Linked DNA regions of Notamacropus eugenii. The protein of the gene in region 1 purifies or fractionates together with the protein of each later gene. This does not show direct contact. Links are inferred from orthologs where the notes say so. Each region holds a gene or a part of one and is shown on either strand. Other genes may lie near its edges.

The links. The genes of interacting proteins can lie anywhere in the genome.
Region 2: the proteins of SMARCA2 (region 1) and BCL7C purify together in Homo sapiens (affinity purification with mass spectrometry; 4 studies listed by BioGRID and IntAct, counting the BioPlex papers as one, with this or other methods). This does not show direct contact. The link is inferred for Notamacropus eugenii from reciprocal best matches to the Homo sapiens genes SMARCA2 and BCL7C.
Region 3: the proteins of SMARCA2 (region 1) and BCL7B purify together in Homo sapiens (affinity purification with mass spectrometry; 3 studies listed by BioGRID, with this or other methods). This does not show direct contact. The link is inferred for Notamacropus eugenii from reciprocal best matches to the Homo sapiens genes SMARCA2 and BCL7B.

The regions. Positions count from the first base shown.
Region 1 is NC_092872.1:99,142,378-99,150,215, reverse strand, and holds the start of SMARCA2 (probable global transcription activator SNF2L2), read left to right. Parts: upstream 1-4,761; 5' UTR 4,762-4,934; intron 4,935-5,084; 5' UTR 5,085-5,151; intron 5,152-5,378; exon of another isoform or gene 5,379-5,594; 5' UTR 5,595-5,767; intron 5,768-6,767; exon of another isoform or gene 6,768-7,033; intron 7,034-7,455; exon of another isoform or gene 7,456-7,838. UniProt on the Homo sapiens protein: ATPase involved in transcriptional activation and repression of select genes by chromatin remodeling (alteration of DNA-nucleosome topology).
Region 2 is NC_092874.1:377,801,152-377,808,665, forward strand, and holds BCL7C (B-cell CLL/lymphoma 7 protein family member C), read left to right. Parts: upstream 1-4,446; 5' UTR 4,447-5,000; coding exon 5,001-5,092; intron 5,093-5,443; coding exon 5,444-5,522; intron 5,523-6,560; coding exon 6,561-6,669; intron 6,670-6,792; coding exon 6,793-6,957; intron 6,958-7,045; coding exon 7,046-7,131; intron 7,132-7,261; coding exon 7,262-7,408; 3' UTR 7,409-7,480; downstream 7,481-7,514. Other genes in the region: CTF1 (cardiotrophin-1), read right to left, coding at 1-315, 1,482-1,597, 3,433-3,505. UniProt on the Homo sapiens protein: May play an anti-apoptotic role.
Region 3 is NC_092873.1:50,364,883-50,372,791, reverse strand, and holds the start of BCL7B (B-cell CLL/lymphoma 7 protein family member B), read right to left. Parts: upstream 3,069-7,909; 5' UTR 2,950-3,068; coding exon 2,858-2,949; intron 1-2,857. UniProt on the Homo sapiens protein: Positive regulator of apoptosis. Plays a role in the Wnt signaling pathway, negatively regulating the expression of Wnt signaling components CTNNB1 and HMGA1.

The sequences.
Region 1 (7,838 bases):
AAGTAGAATGATGCTATGGCAGAGAGAGGTCTTGCCTTGGAATCAAGAAATTGTGAGTTCAAGATCCAATTCTGACACATATTGTCCATATGACCATGAGCAAGTCATTTGACTTGCCACCAAATAATTCTCTAAGGGTTCATAAGTTAGATAAAATACATGCCTCACGTTAATGAATCACGATAGTAGGGGAGAAGCAGATAAAAGTATACTAAATTATTATCATTACTGACCCTTCTATGTTGACCATGATACGACATACAATTGCTACATTAAAAATTGTGTAAATCTCTGTTCTCTTTTGCAAAATTGATCCATGCAAATGACCTAAGTCTAATTGTCATCTGAAGCCCTTTGCAAACCTCTGAAAGCTACTTTCTAGAAAACATCCATACTAAAGTTGACCACCAGAAAATAATTAAATTTTTTGAAAATATGGTGATCCATATAGTGTTGGGTATTAACATCCTAATCAATGCTGGAAAGAATCCTTTTGGAAACTCTTGAGTTGATTTTAGCTTTATTGATTACTTCTTGCTAAACTATAGTGTTATAGCCACAATAACAGTAGTAGCTAAGTTTAAAATCTAAAATTCTAAAATCTTCTATAGTAATCTACAACAGACAAAGCATACAGTCATTACTGTATGGCCGTATTTACTCCTTTTTCATCATAGTTAGACAACATTTTAATCAGAGGAATAATTTCCCTTTAAGTCTAGAAATGTTTGTTGGCTCCATATCCTTACTCTTTTTAACAACTGTGACCCTAGACTTCAATTTTTAAATCATCTATTTGCTTTTTGAAGAACTTCTAGTGATATACTGGGCGCAAACAAATGAATGTGTCAATAAAGACATGAGGAGGTGGTCTCTGTCTCTGGATTCCAAGGTAGAAAGTGAAAAGCTGCTGCTTCAGAGACCAAACAATGACTCATCAAAGGCCAGAAGGAAAAGCTTCACGTGAATTTAACATCCTGTTTGACAACCTGGAGATCTTTCAGCCTTTGACCATATCTGCTTTTGGGAGATTCTCTCCAAAACAAAAGCAACCCTCATAGCCATTCTTCACATCAATTGTTAAATTTTGCTTTTTTCCTGAAAGCTGAATTTCATGTTATTTACTTCACATCTGAAATAGATGGGGATGCAATTTCATTTCTCAGAAGTTTAAGCCACAACAGGCGAGCAATATTGGATGAGATTCCTGCCTGTTACACTGCATGTTACTTACATGAAAATCCTTCATAAGATCTATTTAAAGAAATCAAAGGAAGGAGATTGTCATTTTCCTAGGAAGCACAAAGGGATATGTGGTTGAGAAAATAATGTTGACATTGTTTTTCCTGATTGATATTGTTTTTTATCTATGCTTTTGAAATTTCCATAGTTTCTTCATAAATTATGCACAAAGGCATACAAAATCCTATAAATTAGATGAGGAAACTATATAATACATTAGAGACAATACACATACACACAAATGCACACATGTATATTTATGTGTATGTGTGTGTATGTGTGATATATGTGTGTTTCAATTACAAAAATTTACAATTTAAATTTAAACTTAAAAATACTCCTTTCCCTCAAGTACCTTACATTCTAATACAGGATGCAGCATATAAATAGATAAGAAAACACCAACTTATTTGAGAAGTAAAAAAGTACTAGCAAGTGGATGGATTAGAACAGGCTTCCTTTAGAAGAGGTATGTGAACAACGCTTTGAAAAAGTAAGATTCCAAGAAACTAAAAATGAGAGAATACCTTCTTGTTCTTTATTCATGTCTACCCTGTGGACCATAGCACACCAATACTGTCCTTGGGGTTTTCTTGGCAAAGATACTGGAGTGGTTTGCCATTTCCTTCTCATGTGGATTCAAGCAAATGGAAATTAAGTGACTTGCCCAAGGCCACACAGTTAGTATGTATCTGAGGCCAGATTTGAACTCAAAAAGATGAGTCTTCCAGACTCCAGACCTAGAACTCTGTCCATTAAACCACTTAGCTGCCTCCTAGGTAAACAGATATTAAGTGATTTGCCCAAAGTCACACAGGTAGCCAGTAACTAAGGCTGGATTTGAATTCAGGTCTTGCTGACTCCAGGCTCCAGGCTCAGTGCCACTGAGCCACATAGATACCTAGAGTACCTTCTGGGCCTGTGCAAAGACACATAGGCAAGAAATGAAAAAAACAATTCAGGGAATATCAATTAGTCCCATTTGACTAGAATGTAAAGTCTAAATAATAACAAAGTCAGTAAGTAGAAAGGTATTTGAACATGTATGTATATATGAATATATATGTGTGTGTGTGCATATAATATATAGACACATATCTTTACATATGATGTATTTGTACCTATAAAGGTATGCATCCATACATATATGTCTACATACATACATGTATGCATCCATAAATGTATGTATATATACATATATGATTTTATATTTTTGCCATTGAATACTCAGTACCAAACTCAGTGCCTTGCACATAGCACTTAAAATTTAATTAAATTGGGTAATTGAATACTCACATATGCTCATACATATCCATACAGACATTTTCCCCCCAAAAGCGGGAAAAATTCCAGAAGGAATGGAAAGTCCTTCTACAGATGTTTTGCCAAGGTGATTGGTTTCTCCATGAAAATTGCCTTAACTATAATGGAGAGGGCAAAGAGGTCCAAGGGCTCTTTTTTCTAGGAAGGAATAAAGTGCAATCTCTTATGCCAAAATATTGGAAAATATGTGGTCTTAAGAAATTATCCATTATAACAAGAATCTTCATTAAATTAAAACCCAGTTATGGGCCACCAAATTATTAAGTTTTATTATTAGTTGTAATTTATGAAACAGTTAAATACCTTTGACTGTATTTTACTATGCACCTAAATTTGCTCAGCGTCTCTTGCTGGAGATTCGATGGTTAATAATTATATCAGCATGTCCTTGGGCAGAAAAATCAGTTTATTTTACTGGATGCATGGGGACATACTACGTATTTTAATTGATTCTCTTTAATACTGTCCTTTATCATATTTTGAATAGCCAGAAAATGATGTTGAAGTTGGTGATCAAGTAAAAAGACCTTGGGAAACTACAGTGTCAGTGACAAGTAACATTGTATCTCTGGCATTATAATCATGTCATTACAGATTCTAATTTGGTCAGTAATAGACCAGTAACATAAACAGTACCTGTCACTTAATGACCATATGGAGCATTCTGTGTTCTTCCCATTGCTTCAGGTTCTTAACTTCTCCAGCTGGCTGTTTTGAACATACTACAAGAACGACATTTCAGACACTTGCTCAAATAGAGTCAATTTTGCAACAGTAAAATGCCTCTTAAAATAGGATTTTACTCTAGGGGGAAAACTCTCTATAAAATAGTCACAATGCACTTTCAATGACTAATTTAGGCTGTTGCATGGCAAAATAAGGGATAAATCAAACTTTTCATAACTCTAGCACATAGGAACAGTTTTAATTTTTAAAGGCAAATACCTACATTAATCTGAGGCTAAAATAACAGACCCCTGACTTAAAATCTTCCAATGTGTTCTTTCACAGTTCATAAAAATATTTCTCTCAGCAAATATTGACGGCCTGGTAGGCCTAAGGTGCTTGTATTTCAAGGAACACCATAAGCTGAGGTCTGGGTTTTTTTTTTTTTTTAAAGTGCCAGGAGCATTTAGTTTGAAATCTTAATTGCCTCTTAAGTGTAGGAAGGCAGACTTAGAGATTAATGTGAATGCAGGTTACCAGATTTACTCCCTTGCTTCCACCAAAACGAGATTCAATGGCCCAACTCCTTATTTCCCCCTCCCAATTCCCCTCACCTCAGAACTGGTGTGTATTTATTAATTTATTTATTTTTTACTTATGGAATATAGGAGAAGAAAGGTAAGATAGCAATCTCCGATTCCCAGAGTGGAGGTGTCCCTATTTCTCCATAAGCTTCATAGCCTGATTGCAGATTTGGGGGATCAATGACTTTTGGAAAGGTGCAACTCAATGGAAGGAGAGTCGGATTTGATCTCAATGTTCTTTGTACCCTCCTCCCTTCCTGGAAAAAGGCAGATTTATAATTATAGTCCGGGGGGGTGGGGCGGGAGAGGGAGGAAGTTTCTGCAGCCTTGACAATGGCTATCCCTTCCTTGTAACAACCAGCCTTTGGTGCAACTCCGAATCTATCTCCTCCTCCCCCCTCCTTTCCCCCTTTCCAGGCTCGACCTGGCAATGGCTGGCACAGTTAAATGCCAGCAATTTCTTTCCATACCCCCCAAACTACTACAAGCTATTACTACTACTACCCTCCGTTTTTGTTACGTCTCCAGAGCCTTCTTCCCCAAAACAACACGACGCTGAAGGGGGAAAATTTCAAGCCGGAGGGGGGGTGGGGGTGGGGGGTAGAAAGACATTCCAACAATCAATCGTTGAAAAAGGCAGCAGTAAAGCATGAACATCCACAAGCCAACTCAGGCAGGCTTGCTCTGTCCTGCGCAGTTTCTGTGGTTCCATGTACAAACAGGGAGCAAAGGCTGGAGCCTTTACAGGCACACATGCATACGCGCATACAGTAGACCTGTCTCTCAAGGCACATTCTTCCACACCATCACCCCCTCCTCCCGGTACTCCCGGAGTAGCCAAGGGGGCCGAGTGACAGAACAGGTCCACCAACCCCGGCAGGGGTGGGCAGGAATTCTCGCTGGGCCCAGCCAACTGGAGAGAAGCTTCCGGAGCCTCTAGCGTCAGGGGGGTGGGCCTAGCGAGGAGTAAGGAGGAGGGGCCCGAGTTTAGGAAGAGGAGGGGAAGGCTGTCATCAATGAAGTCATATTCATAATCTAGTCCTCTCTCTAGCTCTGTTTCTGTACTCTGGGTGACTCAGAGAGGGAGAAGATCCATCCAGCATACTCTTCACAAGCAAGGTAAATATAACTTACAACTCCCTTCTCCCCACCCCCCCCACCCCCCGCTCCTGCAGCAGCTGCTGTCGCACAACCACCTCCCGTGCACACTCAGCCTTCCCCAGGATTTATTCATTATGATCATAATTATTATTGATTGTACATGCACAGAGACCAAAACAAGCGAAGAAGAGGAGCAGCCGACAAACAAAACAACAACATTCCTCACCGGTCTCAGGTGAATAAGGAACAGACAGCACAACACCTGGGTGGTTGGAGAAGAGGTGACGAGGGAAAGTTTCCAAGAGAATTGGGGTTCTAATAATGACAGTAATCATGCCTACTTCATGAGAATCAGAACAAAAAGCAGCCACACAATCCTGTACCTGGCTACCAAGTCACCGACGCGCTGCCAAGTCAAGGTTGCAAAACAAACACACACACACACACACACACACACACACACACACTACAACGCACATAGATGGGCAAGGTTGCATCCCCCCCCTCCCCATTAAAAACCTCTGAGGGGAAGAGGGGGAGGAGGGGAAAGAAGGAGGGAGGATGGAAACGCGACAGTTCATAATAAGAAACCATCATAGTAACAGTTGGAGGGGGAGGAGAGAGCAAAATCTAAAGCTTGTCATAGAGCACTGGTAGCCCCTGGCTGCTTTCTCCCAGGGACTTGGTTCAGGAGCTCAGGCAGCGGCGCGGACAGAAATAGATCGAAAGCAGCAACAGTCGGGGAAACCGAGGCTCAGCTCCGCCGTGGCGGCGGCGGCGGCGGGGGCGACCAAGGTGGGAAGCCGCGGCGGCGGTGGCAGGAGCAAACAGAGGCGGCAGGAACCTGGCCGGTAGGTTGGACTCGAGTGTTTTTACCTTCCCCCCCACCCCCCTTTCCTGCGACGGTGACAGACCCCTGGACTTGTATGGTGGTGCTGTAGCTGCTGGCTGTGGTGGTGGTGGTGGTGGTGGTGGGAGGGGAGGGAGGTTTGAACAGAGGATTGCAGGAGAATCGCACCCGGTGTTCTTCTTCCCCAGTTTTCTCTCTCTGTGCACCAATGAGTGCCCACCCCAGTGCCTGCCTGGCAGGAGCAACGGAGGATTCGTTTGGTGCTTGTGTCTGGAGGGGGCATGCATGGGGCGGCGGCAGCTACTGCCTGAGTGCTCGGGCTGCCGCCGCCGCTGCGGCTGCCACCGAGTGTTGAATGTTGAAGTTGAGTGTGTCCGGCCCGGGCTTAGCAGCTGGGCGGGTGGAGGTGGGGAGAAGAAGAGGAGGAGGAAAAGGAGGAGGAGGAGAAGGAGGACACGAAGGAGGAGGACGGAGAGGAGGAGAAAGAGAAGGAGGAGGTCTGGTTGCCCCCTCCTTTTTTTTTCTAGGGCAGTGGGCGCTGAGCTATCCCTTTCAGGGTCAGCGGCAGGGGTGCGAATGGGATGGGGAAATCAAGTGAGTGAGAAGGGGAGAAATGGAGCTTGTTAAGAGTGAGTGGCTGCTGCAGCAGCAGCGGCTGCGTTAACCAGCCGAGCCAAGGAGGCCATGATCCGGATAATCTCCCTGTCTGACTGTCACTAACATTACACACATACACACGCACACACACTCACACACATACGCACACACAGGGGCACGCAAGTGCAAGGTTTATTGGTGGAGGGCGAGGGGAAGGTTGCTGCCTGGTAGGAGAGGGTCCAGAGTCTCCTGACCACCAATGCCTCTTCTTGTTCCTTGTCTTTTAGTTTTGTAGGGTTCTGATCGAATCTGGTTTGGGTTCTGCCTCCTCCCCTCCCCTCCTCCTCCCCCCTCCCGCCCCCCGCCCCCCCAGCGCCAAGAGCTCCTCTCCTCCTTCTGGTTGCCTTGCAAAACACAGTCACGCGAACTGCAAAGGTGTCGCGATTCACTTCCCCAAATAGCCTGTCCAGCTCGTCCCTGACTTGGCCCCGTCCACTCCCCGGGCCGCTGCCGCCGCCACCTCCCGGGTGCAGAACAGCGGGGTCGGACGTTCGGGCATGCCTGGTGCCTTGCATCCAGCGCATCTGTGTATGCCTGGCTTCATCTGGAAGATAAATGGATAGCTCCGTGCATTAAACGCTTCCCGGCCCAAAGACTTCGTTGATTTCCGGTAAACGCGGGGAAATTGCTTCTTGCGGCTTTCCCCCAGCTTTTTCTTGGCTGTAACCAGTGTGCAACTACCTAGATGAGATGGTGAAGACCGCGGTCCTCCTGTTTTCATTTGTTTTTATAGTGGTTGGAAGGCAGGGAGGGGGAGGCACAGAACTTGCCCCTGTTGCTTTGGAGGCGGAGGGGGGTCTGCCGCATCCAGACCCCAGGAGGGAAGTTTGGAGAGGTCTAAGGCAGAAAAGTTTGGCAGGGTAGATAACTAAGGTGGAAGGGGAGGGAGAGAGCGGTGGAGAGGGCCTGAGGGGTTTGCAGCTAGTATTACAGTTTGCTCTAGGTTGGAGTGTGTGTGTATGTGTGTGTGTATGTGTATGCGCGAGTGCGTTGTGTGTGTGTGTGTGTGTGTGTGTGTGTGTGTGTGTGCGTGCGTGCGTGTGCGCGCGCGAGTCAGGAGCAGCAGGAGGAAAGCAGACTCCCTCCTCCTCTCTCCTTCTTCTCCTCCTCCTCTTCCTCCCTCCCCAGCCTGTGCCTGGAGAGGAAGAGGCGAGGTTTGGTGGTGGTGGTGGTGGTGGTGGTGGTGGTGTGTGTATGTGTGTGAAATCCTCGGGGAATCAGGAAGTCACAGCGGCGAAACACACACACGTACGCACACACATACACACACAGACATGTTTGATCGGTATGACATGATGAGAGGGAGGGAAGAGGAAGAAGAAGCTGGAGAGAGACAGGCCTAGCGCTCTCGGGAAATATGCTCTCCGCCGGCCTGCCTAACACCCAGACTCGTCAGCTTCGCTTTGTGTTCTGCC
Region 2 (7,514 bases), on another chromosome or scaffold:
ATGTGGCCCTGGGGGCCCTGGGGTTGCACCTAGTGCCCCCAGAACAACCTCTACAGCATTCCCCAGCGCCCTTGACTGGTGAGAGGCATCTTCTAGCCGCCGGAGGAGCCGACGGGCAAAAGGGTTGAGGTCAGCCTGGAGCCGGCGGATGGTGTCCAGTAGTGGGGACAGTGAGTTCAGGGCAGCTGCATCAAGCTGCAGCCTCTCAAGGGTGGGGAGCCCTGAATGAGTTGGGGCTGGGGAGTTCAGCCCGGGAACTGGTAACCCTGGGGGAGAGAAGCTGGGCAGCCCGAATGGGTCCCCCTGGTGCTGGACCTGTAAGGGAAGGGTGGGGAGAGGTGTTAGGAGGAGTCTTTTCTTCCCCTTGGACAGACCCTCCCTGGAGGATCCAACTTAAGGCAACAGATTCCCAGTCTTCTATAAAAGTCCCAGGCAAGAGCAACTCCTCTGGATGTGAACCATTTATGCTATAAAATTGCCTTATTTTCTACCAGCTTTGGTGAGACCTATGAGGTCTCTTTGCTCTTTTTGCTTGGTTCTCATTAGGGAAATTGATCCTTCTCATCAATAACACAAGATTTTTCTTCCTTCCCACCCCACCTGCCAAAAGTTCTACAGGTGAAAAACTTCTGTTCTACCTCCCAGAGAAATGTTTCCCTTTGTAGGGTTGGATCCCAATTAGAATCACAGAATCTGGAATATTTTTATAGGAAACTGAGGTATAGAACTGAGGCATAAGTTGCCCAAGGTCACACAAGTATAAAAAAACAGAAATAGAACTTTGTCACTTGCACTGTAGTTTTTCCAAGCCAGTGTTAGTGGGGAGGTCCTGTAGCAGAGATAGTATTAAACAGTAATAATCTAACAGTCAATAGCCTATGGGTCATGGGGATTTGAATTTCGATGCATGGCATAAACTTCCCTCCTACCTTCTACCAGTTTCATTTGTGCCAGTATTAATGTTTCTGTCTCATCAGCACTCATCGGCTTGTCAGAGAAGGCTGGTGAGGGTGAGGTGGGAGGGGGGGTGGGGGTGGGGGGATAGGGTGGGGGATGGAAGGGAGCCTGCTAGGCAATGGAAACATAAAGCTTTTGGTGATTAACAGCTTGATCTGAATGGAAAGCTGACAGGAGGTGGATTTTCCTCTACATATGTGGGAATGAGTTCTCATCTTTCTTATTTCTAATTCTGAAGCTGCCTACCCTTTAAGACAAAGCCAAGGTTGGTCTGTTGTCAAGAACTCTAGAATGAGAATCCGTGGTCCTGGATTCTAATCCTACTTCTAACATTGATTCACTGTGTGACCCTGGGCAAGTCCTATCCACTTCTCAGCTTCTTCTTCTGTGTAATAGTGGGGCTGGATTAGATGGTCTTCCCAGGGCTTGCCCCTAAAATGGAATAATTCAAAGGGTATAGAGTAATCTTTCCCATTCTTCCCCATCCCCTTTTCCACCCCACCACCTCCCACCTCTGTACTCACATATTCCTGAAGCAGCTGCTCAGCATAGCTAGTGAGGAGTCTTGCAAGACTGTGGGTCTGACGGATCTTGGCCTCAAGGTGGGAGAAAGATGAGGCCGAATGGGACTGTAAGTCCACTGGAGGGGACAGGGGAGGATGAGGAGGAATCAAAACCCAGGTCCCCTGACATAACAGATCTCCCTTCTTCCCATAACATACTATTTTTAGTGTCTTATTGGTGGCTTGATTCCACATTCTCACCTTATACCAATTGGGGCTGTAGTCCTATCTTCCCCTACCCTAATTATCTGAAAGAAGAAATTGATCTACAGGAGCTGGAGGTAGGGAAGCAAGGAGGTGTGGGGCCTGGACAGGAGACTTGAATGACTATATTGCAGATAATCACAATTCCTAGGTGATTATGTGTTATAATACCTGGAGTACCCTTTGATAATACCAACTACAGTTTCAAATCCTGACAAGTTGACTGATTAATAACTTGAATTGGCCTTAGACTCCTCTGAATTGGGAGTTCAGTTACTTAAGGGATTAGAAAATTTTAATTCTTAACAGTTTATAACCTAGTCCCACTGTATACATCACCAAAGACAAGAAGGGGAGATGCTAGGACAGGAGTTCCTAACTTTTTTGTATGTCATACTCTTTTGGCAGCCTGGTAAAATCTATGGACCCCTACTCAGAATTACATCTTTAAATTCATACAATAAAATGGATAATTAATTATATCAAAAGTTATCAAAAAATTAAAACAAAACAAGTTCATAGACCTCAGGTATAGAAAACACTTGACTACACATTCTGGCTTCACTTTACTCTTGACTAGGAGAAAACTACATTTCCCAGGATGCAAAGAACTTAGGCAGATGCTAGGCACATGGTGCTTAATATTGTAGGGGGAGGACTAGTAAGAAGGAAGCGACATGCAAAGGTGACCAAGTTCTTTAACCCATGTCTGGCCCCAAAGACCTATCACCACATCTTTTGCTGTTCAGCTCTCTCTCTCTCTCTCTCTCTCTCTCTCTCTTTCTCTCTCTTTCTCTCTCTCTCTCTGTCACACACACACACACACACACACACACACACGCGCGCGCGCGCGCGCACACACACGCACGCACACACACACACACACACACACACACACACACACACACACACACACACACACTCGTCAACTTTCTTCCCAAGACCCTATCTCTCTTGAGTACTCGAGTAGCTTATCAATTAGCTCTGGTTCTCCTTTATAAAGAGCAAAGAGCTTCCTTGCATTCTACCCTCCCCCACCTCGATCTCCTTCCTTTCCCTCCCCCCCAGCCCCCCCCCCCCACTCCCAGTCATTAATTGACCATCCTGCTCTATTCAAACTATGAGACTTCAGCCAGAGGCTGGTATTTTTGCCAAAGACTCTCAACCCCACACTCTTTGCCCCTCTTCAACATATAAGTTGTTAAGGTGAGCCCACATCTCACTTCCACAGCCCCACTTCCACTTCAAGTCCTATCCTTTTAGTTTCCTCCTCCAAGTCCTTCCCCATTTTCTTAATCAGATCCCTTTCCTTTCTCAGAATCCATCCATTTGGCTGTTTAGCCACTAAGCTGTCCTTTTCAGAACACAAACATTACATTACAGCCCCAGGCACCTAACTTGTAGGACTGAACCCTGCTCCTCCTATTAACCTGCAGTCTTGCCCAGTTCCCAGCTTTCTCTTCTAGACCCAATTTTTCCAAGTCCCAGAAGTCCCTTACCCTTGTTTCCCTCCCTCTGGCTCATGTTGGCCCCCTCCGTCCCCTGGCTGGTCCCGGTTCCCTACATGCCCCCTCCTCCCCTTCCCAGAGAGAAGAAGAAGGGAGGGAAAAGGGGGGTAGGGGGCGTGGTCCACTATCAACCAATCAGGGGCCACCCCCAAACTCCCCCCACCTCACCCCAAGCCCAGATTCCAGGGCCCTGAGCTCACCTTTTAGCCCTGCCCTGAGGAGCGGAGAAAGGCCTGGGAGCGAGAATATAGGTCTTGGGAAGATAAAAACCATAAGGATCTTGGGGCGCTCCCTCCCAGAGAGCTTCAACTTTTCTCCTAGTCTAGGAATTGGATTGAGAACTGTCACCTTGCTGATGAGGTCACCCAGACAGCAAAGGGGCAGGGACTGTCAGAGTTCTGAGAGGGCAGTTGAGAGGAAAGAAGCTAGGAGTTGGGGTGGGGGTTGGGGGGAAGGAAGAGGAGGACTCCTGGGTTCAGGGAGGGAACTGGCATGCCTGGAATTCAAAGAATGTACCTACTGGATAGCTTTCCTGGGGATACACCAAGTGAACTACCCCCAGGAGTTGGGGGGTGGATGGAGGAAGGGGAAAAGATTTGCGAGGTTGTTGGAGAAGGTGGCACCGGAAATGTATTATAGTCACAGGGATGTGCAGACACACACCAAGAGATCTACTACCATATTCTTGAACAGATAGTCACATCTCAATCTCACCAATTAGACAGTAAAGCAAACTGATAGACAGACACATTTTAAAAGGATATCTGATATATTATGGGCGCCTGCCCAGGAATGAAACAGTGGTATCCACAAACACTTAGATCCACGGCACAACCCCACTTGCTGACTCTTAAACCAGCACCCACAGATGCTGTGCAGAGTGAGAGACATGTTTCCTGAAGGACTTTCACAAACATGCTAGGGAAGAAGATATACAAGTACCCCAGTTTGATACAATTGCATTAATGCCCACAGTGATACATAATCGCCAACTGATACACATATACACGCACATGCACATAGAGGCTGAAACTCCACAGGCACAAGGGGGCAGTCAAAGGAACTTAAAACGAAATCGAGTAGGGACCTCCCCTTCCCCCTGCCCCTAGCCCTGGCCCTGCCTCTACGGCCAGGCCCTGGTCCTGTCTCTGGAGAGCAGGGGGCGCTGTGGGGGAGCCAGAGTGGGCGGGGAAACAACTCAGCACAGGGGGCGGAGGGTCTGGTCCAGGGGACTACTGCTCCTTGGTTTCCTGGCTGCAGCAGGGAAATCCCCAAGCCAGAGCAGAACTAAAAGGCGGCTGGGGCAGGGGCGGGCTTAGAGGAGAAGCCAGAAAGAAGTGACAGGGAAGGAGACAGACACTGACGACAGGGAGCCGAAGAAAGGGAAAGAGAGACAGTGAGGGAGGCAGGAAGAGTGACTCACAGAGAAAAGCGAAGACGACAGACAGCACTGGGAAGGGAGGAGAGCAAAGAAAAAACATTTTTGTTTTTAAAAGCAGGAAGACAGGATGGAAAACCAAGAGGGAAAGAAAGAGAGGGAGTGAATCAAACCGACGAGGAGATTGAGAAGTGGGGAAACAGGAAGCCAGTGAGCAAGGGGTAGGGGGAGAAAGGGATAGCTTAGGAGGAAGAGAGAACTGAGTAAGGCAGAGAGGGAGCTCCAGGGGAGAAGGGCACCAAGTGACCCAGACAGAGGTGTCTGGGGAGTCCAGGAAGCATCCCTAGTGCAAGCCAGGTGGGCCTCGGGAGAAGCGACACCTCAGTTCTCATGGCGGGCCGGACGGTGAGGGCTGAGACCAGGAGCCGGGCCAAGGATGACATCAAGAAGGTGATGGCAACCATCGAAAAGGTCCGGAGATGGTGAGAATGGAGGCCCAGGGACTGGAAGGCTTGGGTTTGAGACAGGGAGGAAGGGAAGGGATGTGGGGTAATAACATGGAGTGAGAGCAGTGGGATGAAGGTTTCAGACAGACCACCCTCCAAAGCTTTGGATATCTAGGTCCATCCCAATTAGACTGCTGTTTTTCCCTTCTCCAAAGATAGCTGTGCCATAGAACTGTGTGTTTTTATGTGTTGGTGAGATGTGTGTGTGTGTGTGTGTGAGAGAGAGAGAGACAGAGTGAGAGAGAAAGAGAGACAGAGAGAGAGAGAGAGAGAGAGAGAGAGAGAATCTCTGGCTCTGCATGACCTGGCTCTGTGGATCACCCCTAGGGAGAAACGCTGGGTGACAGTGGGAGACACTTCCCTCCGTATCTACAAGTGGGTGCCTGTGGTGGACCCACATGAGGAGGTGAGAGAATTCTATTTCCCTTATGACATACTGCCTTCTCCACTATTCCCTTTCTTTCTTTTCTTTGTAACATTATCAGTCTTTTCCCCCAAACCAGATTCCCCCCCTTTACTTGGTCTTTTTTCAGTGTCACTACCATGTATCCCAGTCTCCCCTAAACATTGGATTCTTCACTCTCATATCCTATATGTTACTAAGCTCTGCTGAATCTTTTCACTGCAGTAACATTTGCATCTGTACTTTCCTTTCTATTTCTACTTGCTACCACCCTAGTGCAGGCTCTCATTATTATCCACCTAGGTTATTGCAATAGCCTCTAAATCTATCCTTCATATTGCTACCAGATGTTTCCCACCCCACCCCCACCCCTCAGCTTGCCATATCTTGTCATGCCACTCCATTGCCCAAAATCTTCCACGGTTTCTTGTTGTTGTCTATCCATTGAAGGTCGAAGCTCTTTTGCCTGGCATTCAAGGCCCTCCACAGCTAGGCATCACCCAGCTTTGCACACTTCCCCCTACAGCTTTCCTCCATCTTCACTGACCGCTTAAGCCAAAGTAGATTGCTTTCTGTCCCCAATTTCTTGCACCTGAAAATGTCTCCATCCCCTTCTCACCTGTTGAATTTTTACCCATTTTAAAAGCCTAACTCAAATATTACCTCTACCATAAAGCTTCCCTGGCTTTATCAGTAACAGCTGCACTCTCCCTCTCCCCAAACCCATAAAATAATCTTTACAAGTATGCAATGAATTGATTATATATTCCTTTGGATTATGTTACATGTGTCCCATTTCCTTAACTGGGCAGCTCCTGGAGGGCTGGTCTCCAATTAAAATTTTTTTTATTCCCTCCATACCTTAGCACAATTCCCAGAACACTGGAGGTACCTAATGAATGTTTGTTGAAAAGAGCTGAATTCCTTCAGGATCTGACTCTTTTCCCTTTCTTGGGAAACTTTCCTGCTCCCTCTCCCAACTAATTCATTCATCTTTTCTCTACCACTCTCGAACTACCTTGCTCCTTTTCCTTTCTGTAGGAACGTCGACGGGCAGGAAGTGGGGCTGACAGGCCCCGAGTCAGGGAACGGAGGGGTCGGGGAGCCAGTCCAAGAGGGGGTGGTCCCCTCATCTTGCTTGACCTCAGTGGTATGTAGGGGTGTCTGGAGGGTGGGAGAATGGAAGTCTTAGGTTGGGGGAAGGGAGAAGAGATCCTAAGGTAGAGGAAGCAGAGGCACCCCAAGGCCCACCCCTCCCAGCCTCTTTTCCCAGCAGATGAGAACAGCAATCAGAGCTTCCACTCAGAGGGCTCCCTGCAGAAGGGCACAGAGCCCAGCCCAGGGGGAACGCCTCAGCCTAGCAGACCAGCCTCACCTGCTGCTCCACCAGATGGGACTTCTGAAGATGTTCAGCCCCCAAGACTGGGCCAGGAAAGAGGTAAGAACTAAACAACTCCTCCATTGGCTTCCCACTGTGATCTTTAGCTCCTTGTTCCCTGGGGTAACCTGCTTTCTTGTTATTCCAGATCCAGGGGGTGTGACTATGGGTGGGACAGATGAACCCCCAATGCTCACTAAGGAAGAACCTGTGCCTGAGTTATTGGAGGCAGAGGTGAGAAAGGCTGGAGGAGGCTGGACTTTGGAGCGGTAGGGAATGAGGGATGTGGAAGGACTGGGGGTTGGAGGGGGCGGGCAAGATCCTTGGGATCTAGGAGAACTTATCCCCAGTTCCTCCTCTCCAGGTTCCTGAAGCTTACCCAGTCTTTGAACCAGTGCCCCCTGTGCCTGAGGCAGCTGTGGGGGAAACTGAAGACTCAGAGGGGGCACCCCCTCTCAAGCGTATCTGTCCAGATGCCCCTGAAGGCAGTCCGCTCCCCCCAGATCCTTGAGCCTAAAAAGCTGATCCATAAACTGTTGTGTCCTCCCTGGCTTTTTACAAATAAAGAACCTTTTGTAGCCAAGTATCCTCTCATTTCAGTTAGCACACCAAGGTTC
Region 3 (7,909 bases), on another chromosome or scaffold:
TAAGAACAAAGTGTGCAACTTGCAAATTTAAGCATGATATCAGTTAGGGCAGTGCAGGTTGGAGATGAGCAGCAGTCAGGGGGCACCACAATGCACAGGGTGCTGGGCTTGAAGTTAGAAAGAACTGAACTCTAATCTGGCCTCAGACACTTACATTTAAGCTCTGTTTTCTCAACTGTAAAACAGAAATAGTAACAGCACCTACTTTCCAGGGTTGTTGGCAGGATAAAATAAAATAAATAAAACAATTCTTGTAAAGCACTTGTAAAGTGCCTGGCACTATATATTCTCTTCTCCTAGAAGTCTTCAAGCAGAGGCTAGGCAATCACTTCTTGGATATTGGAGAGAGTCTTCTCCAGCACAAGTTGGACTAAATGTTTATTCTACAGTTAAGTGTTGTGTTGGAGTCAGGCAAACTTGCATTCAAATCCTACCTTTAATACTTACTATCTTGGCCTGGGCCAGTTTCCTTCTCCAGACTCTGGGCCCCAGTTATATTATCTGTAAAACTAGAGGCGTGGACTAGATGGCCTCTAAGGTCCCTCCCAACTCTAGAGCTATGATCCCCTAAGTTCATTAAATTTTGAAAGAGTTTTTCAATTAGTTGGAGAATTTCTGTTCTAAAAGGTAAGATCTGTATAGTTCTTCCCTTATTTTGCCCAATTATATAACCAAAAGCAGCAAAACTCACTGCCCAGGACAGAAGAAACAAAATATCAACATTTTATTTACATGTCTCATGTATGAGAGAAATGTCTACATAGTTCAAAAAAGAGAAAGAAAAGAAAACCATGGCTCCACTAGCTAGATGGGATGGGAGATGGCCTTTTTAGGATGAAGTTAAGATTGTTAAGTTAGTTTGAAAATTATGACTTTATAACTTCTTGACCTCAAAGAGTTCAAAGAATCACAAACAACTCATTTGTTAACTCATTCTTAAAAGAGAAAAAGAGAGCTGGTAGGGAAGGGAACCTACAATCAGAAAAGAGAGAAACAATGAGACGAAAGTGACCTTAATGGTCACTCATTAAATCCTTAGTAAAGTCAGGAAAATAATTAAGTCTCAGGACTCCAGGTTCTCTAACTAGATCAAGATAAGCCAAAAGGAGGCTCTTTGTAGCTCCAAACACCAGCACCTTTAACATATTTTTAGAATACAAGTTAGGAGATGATGGCATGAGGATAACAGAAAGTTTCTTTTTGCTGACCTGTTACTTCCCTCAACTTCACAATGAGAGATACTTCAGAAAAGAATAGAAAAAAAAATAAAATCTTATTTGATTCTAAGCAGTAATAAGATGATTTAAGTCTCTGTCCAAGATCTCTGAGCAGGAATAAGATATAAAAAGAAATAGACTGATTGATTATTCTCAGAAATTTCCCAAATCAAGATATCCACAAAGAACTGGATGGGTGCAAGGAAGAGTTCAGGAGAGATACATAGTAAGTACCATGAATCAACATGGCACAGTAGAATGTGCACGTGGCTTAGAATCACAGGACAATAAGTTTGGAGCTCAGACAGGACCCTGCTTAGAGGTGCCAACATGAGCTGCTCCTTCACAAGTCTAGGGCTACAAAGGACAGGTCGATTAATCCAATCCTCTTATTTTACTGATGAGGAATCCAAAGCCCAGACACTTCCTCTACTTGCCCAAAGTCACACAGCTAGACAGTGGTAATGCCAGGAGTTGAGGTAGAGTCCTCTGATTTCTTCTTTCCACTGTTTCATACTGTTTTCCTGAGTCTCAGCTTCCACATTTTCAAATGAAAAGACTTCAAATCTCTACGCAAGTGACACCGCCTACAAAAAGCTTTTCTAAGGACCCTAGAACTGAAGCAGAAAGAGGCCATATAGTACAATTCCTTCAGGAGCCAGGTGAAGAGAAAGTTCCTTTGTATATTACTTGTATCAGTTATTAACACCCTCCATGAGAAAGTCACTGTGTAGATACTTTGTATTTAATTTTGTACTTATATGTTCTCTCCAAAAGAATATAAACTTGAAGTCAGGGACTTTTGTGGGGGTGGGGGAGAGGGGGTCTTTTCACTGCTTAACATAATATCTAGCAGGCTGTAAGCATTTGAAGTCTTGCTAGAAACAAAAATTAAGCCGCAATACTGAGCCCTAAGGATACAAAGATTTCATGAAACTCCTGTTCTCAAGGAAGTTACAATGTAATTGTAATTGTTACAAAGTAACAGTAGGCAGACACTGGCTGCTAGGTAGAAGTGGGGAGATCAGGAAAGGCCGTCAGAAAAACGCCTCGTGATTGAGTTTTGAAGGATTGATTCCGGTTATGGAGAACATCCTACGAGGATGGGATGAAGCCTAAAAGGGGCCCTAACATAGTCTAACTTCACAGGAGCTGAAAGCCGTGGATAACCGGAGTTAAGAGGAGGGCACCCCGGAGGCCAGAGCGGGCCACGAGGTGGGTCAGTCCACAGCCCTTGAACGCAGATCTGCCGGAAAGTTTCGGACGTGGCCGCCTCTGAGGCTCGCGGCCCTGGGAGAGAGTAGAGCCGGAGCCTCCGCAGAACGCACCTGCTTCCCAAGCAGCTCCGGTCAGAATAATCACCGGCTCCGGGAGGGCGGGCCCAGAGTCACGTGCGAGGGCGGCTCCGGACACCGGCAGCGCGCTGATTGGCTGAGGCCGGCGCGTCCTTTTCCTCAGCGCAGGCGCAGCAGCAGATGGCTCCGCCTTCCTCCCCTTTCCCCCCGCCCCCCGCCCCCGGCGCCGGCCGGCCGGCCGGCTCCCACCCCTTAACCCACCCCGCTCCGGCTCGGCTGTGGCCGCGCACCGGGCCCCCTCACCCGACATACATCACCCCTTTCTCCCCCTTGACAGCTCCTCACCATTTCCGCACTTTCTCGATGGCGGCCATCACCTTTTTGATGTCGTCTTTGGCCCGGCTGCGGGTCTCGGCCCGGACGGACCGGCCCGACATGGCGGCGGCGGGAGCGGCGGGGGCCGGGGCTCTGCTCCCAGGACTCGGAGAAGCGCGCGCCACACGCGCCGCCACCGCCCGCCCGCCGCTGCCACAGTCGCGTCACCGGCACCGCCCCCGCCCTCCCCGCCCCCCTCTGCCTCCGCCTCCGCGCCCTCCTCCTGCGCGCGCCCCGCGGGGCTCGCGCCCGGCCCAGCGCGCCTGCGCGGCCCTCCCGGGAAACTCCGCCCCCCCACCTGCTCTCTCCCCCCTGGTCCTCGGAGCAAAGCCCAGAGCCCCCTGGGGAGAGGAAGACGGGAGGGGGAGGAGCTTGTGCACAAGCCAGGCGTCTGGCACGTGCCTCTGAGTGGGGGCGGGGAAAGAAGCACGAGGACCCACCTGCTGGGAGGCAGCCTCAGGCCAGCCCTGGAGCTTCTGCTGCTCCCCGCCCCTCCCCGGGTTCCGAGCCCCGAGGTGGGAGGCGGTGCTGACTTTGTTCGGAGGGCCCACGCCTGAAAACCTCCCTGAGCTGCTGGAACTCCAGGGTTCTCAGAATCCTACTGTTGGTATAACTACTTCGAGTGCGTACGAAGGCGAGAGAAACCTAGAGAAAAAGTATTTAAATGCGGTTGTCAAAATAAACAGCAAAATACTTTTAAAAGTTCACCGACGCCCCTCCCCAAATCTGTGCAGAGACCTCTGGGTGCCCGTGGGCTCCGCGGAGCAGCCTCTCAGCCCATCCCCCAGAGCCCTTCCCCAGACTCCTCGAGGTTCTTCCTCCCAGAAAATCCTACCTACAACCCTAAACGGGCCGGAGTTCCGTTAGGCACCCCTATTCCAGGAATCCAGGATCATCTCCATGCCTCCAGGCATTAGAGTAGTGGGAGGTGGATGGATATGGATATTTTTAGATTTATAAACATATAAAATATATTAAATTATATGTTTTAAAAATTATACGTTCATTCATTTATGCATTTGTTTAATGGCCTCCAGGTTTGGGGCTTCCAACTATTTTGCATACCGCATGCAAATTCCTATTCAGTTCAAGAAACTGCAAACCCATAATCTACAGAATATCGTGTATAGCGTATTGTATATAGTATATTGTCATAATGTAGCCAAACAGCAGTGGGTTGAGAGCCATTCTCCTGCCTCTAACACCGTCTGACACAGCGTTCAGTCTCTCTGTGCCCCCAGGCAACTCTCCACACACAGAATTATAAAGAAATTAGCCTTCTGCCTTGGTAGGACGTTTCCACTCCTGGAGTGCTTTTAACCCTAAATTACAGATGGGTTGACAAATTGCTTTGATGGAAAGTGCTCCAACGAAGGGAGTACCCTGACTAAAGAAAATATTACAATGTAACATAGCTACAAGATAAAACTAACAAAAAAATATATTCCCAACAACGGTCCTTTGCAAGTATTAACTTCTTTTTACAGATGACCAAACCAAGCTAAAAAGTTGGGATTTACCGAAGATCAGATAGCTAATAAAAAACAGAACTGAGATTCCAATCAAGTAAGCATTCTTTCTCCTGTTGGTTGGTTGGTTGTTGTCCTTCTTCTCCAACAGGACCAAAATGACATTATGGTGATAAAGTGAAATTTCAGTGTGTGGAACTGTGGCTGATCAGACCAATACCAGCTTGGATTGTTCTATCACATGTTGGGCACAGATAGTGAGGGTGAATATTTGGGGTGGGGAGACAAAGAAAGTCCTGTCCCTCAAGGATCTTCCAGTCTAATGGAGCATACATAAAAATAACTGTAGGAATAAGGTAGATACAGTATCAATTGGGTATAGTCTCAGAGGAAAAGGACTGAGATTAAGGAGGACCAGGAAATGCTGCTTGCAAAGGGGCAAACTTTTTATGGGTCAGTCGTTTTTTCAGTCATGTCCAAATCTTTGTGACCCTATTTGCATTTTTTTTGGCAGAGATACTAAAGTGGTTTGCCATTTCCTTTTTCAAATGAGGAAACAGGCAAAGAAGTGACTTGCCCAGGGTCACACAGCGAGTAAATATCTGAGACAAGATTTGAACTCAGGTTCTCCTGACTCGAGGACTGGTATTCTATCCATCACACCACCTAACTGCCCCTGTCTTTTATATTTCTATAATAAATGCTAGTTGACTGACTTGTTTCCCATTCAACAGCCTTCTTTCATTCATTCAACAAACATTTTAAAGCCCTTGGTGTGCTGGCTGAGGAAATACAAAGTTTACATAAGACATCCCTGCCCTCAGGCAGCTTCTTGTTTGTCTTTCATTTTCCATTTACAGGGTGATGTCTTGACTCCCACATGCATTGAACTTTAAGTGAGGCAGAGCTTCACCAAGTCACCATCCTCATTCTCTCCTCATGAAAGCCCAGTGACAAGACAAAAGTCAAGGTGACTGGAGATGACCCCAGAGGCAGTGGATGAGCTGGGGGCATCTTCAATGTTGGTGCACATTGTTCTCATCCACCCATTCTGCTGAGAGGTCCTCTCGCGCTTGGGATAGACATTCCTCTAACTGACCTACAGGTTTGGGGCCTGTTATCTACCTTAACCTAGTTTAGCAAGTCTCCTGAGGTTTACATCTCTACTCTAAGGATTCTCAAATCTACCTTTCCTGCCCCAGTCTCTGCTGACCTCCAATCTCGAATCTCCACTGGCTTTTCAGGCATCTCAAGCTAGATGCCCAGTAGATACCTTAAACTCAACATATCCAAAACTTTCCCCCAAACTCTATGTCCTTCCCCCCACCTCTCTTTAAGAGCATCACCCTCCTCCCATGCCCTCAGGCTCCTACCCTAGGAGTCATCCTGGATCCCTCACCATCTGATTCCCAGGTCCAAATGATTGCCAAGACCTCTTCATGTCCCCACCTTATAGTCTAACAGGGGGATTAGATGTGTTTTTCCCATAGAATGTTAAGGACCCTGAGAAAAGAGCTCTTCACATTTATTTTAGTATTTCTAGTGTAGTGCTTAATAAATTTGTTTTTGACTGATTAAGACACCAACACATGTGTCTATATATATGGAAAGTGTATGATACAGTTCAAAATAAAGTACAATGTGACATCCAATGAGAAAGCTTGGGGGTGGGGATGGGGGTTAGAAAGGAGAATCAGGGAAGGGCTTTTTATAGGAGGGAGCATTTGAATCAAGATATAAGGAATAAGTAATGCAGCAGTACAAACCAAGATCTAGCCTTTCTTGAAGAAGGCTGCCTGATGGAAACACACACCCTCCTGCTGGCTGGCACCTCTGACCTGCCCTGTTACCAGAACACTCCATATCTGGAATTGAATCTGCTCTTTAAGCTCCCAGCCCCCTGCTGTAGGCTCTGGAGTCATCCCTTGGCCAGTACCCAGCCCCTCCCTGCCTGTGACATCAGAGGCAGGAAACAAATCAAAACTTTGAATGAAATGTACAGACTGTTTCAGTTTCATTGCCACTAGGGTAGCACAAGGGTGGAGGCTGTCCCTAGTATAGGTGTGATATAGGCCCACTACCTCAGTGTTGGAAATGTCAGCTCCCTACCTTTGGGGCCAGGTTGGACTGAGGAGGAAGAGAGGTCTGCAGAGAAATCCCAGCTATGTCTGCGGTACAGTGAAATAAGCACCGGTGATATTTAGAAGCAGGATTTATAATCAAATCCCAGCTTTATCATTAACTGATTAAATTAACTGATTGATAAATTTGATCATTAATTAATATTATCATTAACCTTGATCAATCAATCAGCAAGTATTAATTAAGGCCTCACTGTGCTAGGAATACAAAAATAATAAAATACTAATGGCTAACATTTATATAGAGCTAACTATGTGCCAGGAACTGTGCTAAGTACTTTACAATTATCTCATTTGATCCTCACAACAGCTTTGGGAGGTAGGTGAGATTATGATCCATATGCAAAATTTTTATAGATGAGGAAAGGGAGGCAAATGAAGATTGAATACCTTGCCCAGGGTCATACAATTAGTAAGTATCTGAGGCCAAATTTGAACTCAGGTCTTCCTGGGTATAGGAATGGTGGCGCTCTATCCACAGCTGACTGGATATAATAGTTCCAGTTCTCAAGGATTATGGATAAGGTTACAGATTTCAAAGTTTATATTCAGTTCACAACTCTTTCTGGTTTCCAGGCCCTTATTTGTAAAATAAGGATATTGACATGATGGCCTTTAAGGTCCCTTCCATCTTCACAGCTCTAATCGCTTATCACTTCCAGTCTCTGTAAAATGAGAGAATTGGGCCTCTGGCCTCTAAGTTCTATTCCAGGTCTAACCCTAAATGCACTCTGATCTCCCAGTGATTAGGAGAGTTGTGGCTATGTAAGCCAAAGCCAGGGTGAGGCCTCTTCACGGGACCACCTTTCAAATTCTTTCCTACTCCGTGTATGTATGTGTGTGTGTGTAAATATATGTGTATATACATATATGTGTGTATATACATGTGCATGTGTGTATATATGTATATGTATACGTATCTATTCCTTTAGCCTTACTGAGTGGTTTGCTTCCTTTTTGGAAGCCTTGAGGTTTCAAAAGCTATTGCAATAGACTGGGTAGCAAAAGGCAAAGGGAAAGGAAAAGTGTTCTAGGCAGAGGAAGCAGCTTGAGCAAATTCATGGAGGCAGAAGATTTCAGGGTGTGTTTGGGGAGCAAAGAATTGGCCAAGACAACTGATGAGAGGCCATAGAGGGAAATAATGTAGGAGGGGGCAGGAAAGGTCATATGGCTTCCTTGTGAAAGGCTTTGGATATCTTGGTGGACATGAAAGCATCTCTGCTTGGTGTTTGAGTAGGGGAAACTACTCAAACACCAGATTTGACCAGATCTACAAGTAAAAATGACTCTCTAAGATTGGTACAAAAGTTGGATTAGAGCAGGGGAGTGGAGAAACCTATTAGGAGGTGTGATAGTTTGGTAAAACCTCTGGGATTTTTTTGGTCCTGGTCTTCCTTTCTGCCCTGCCTACT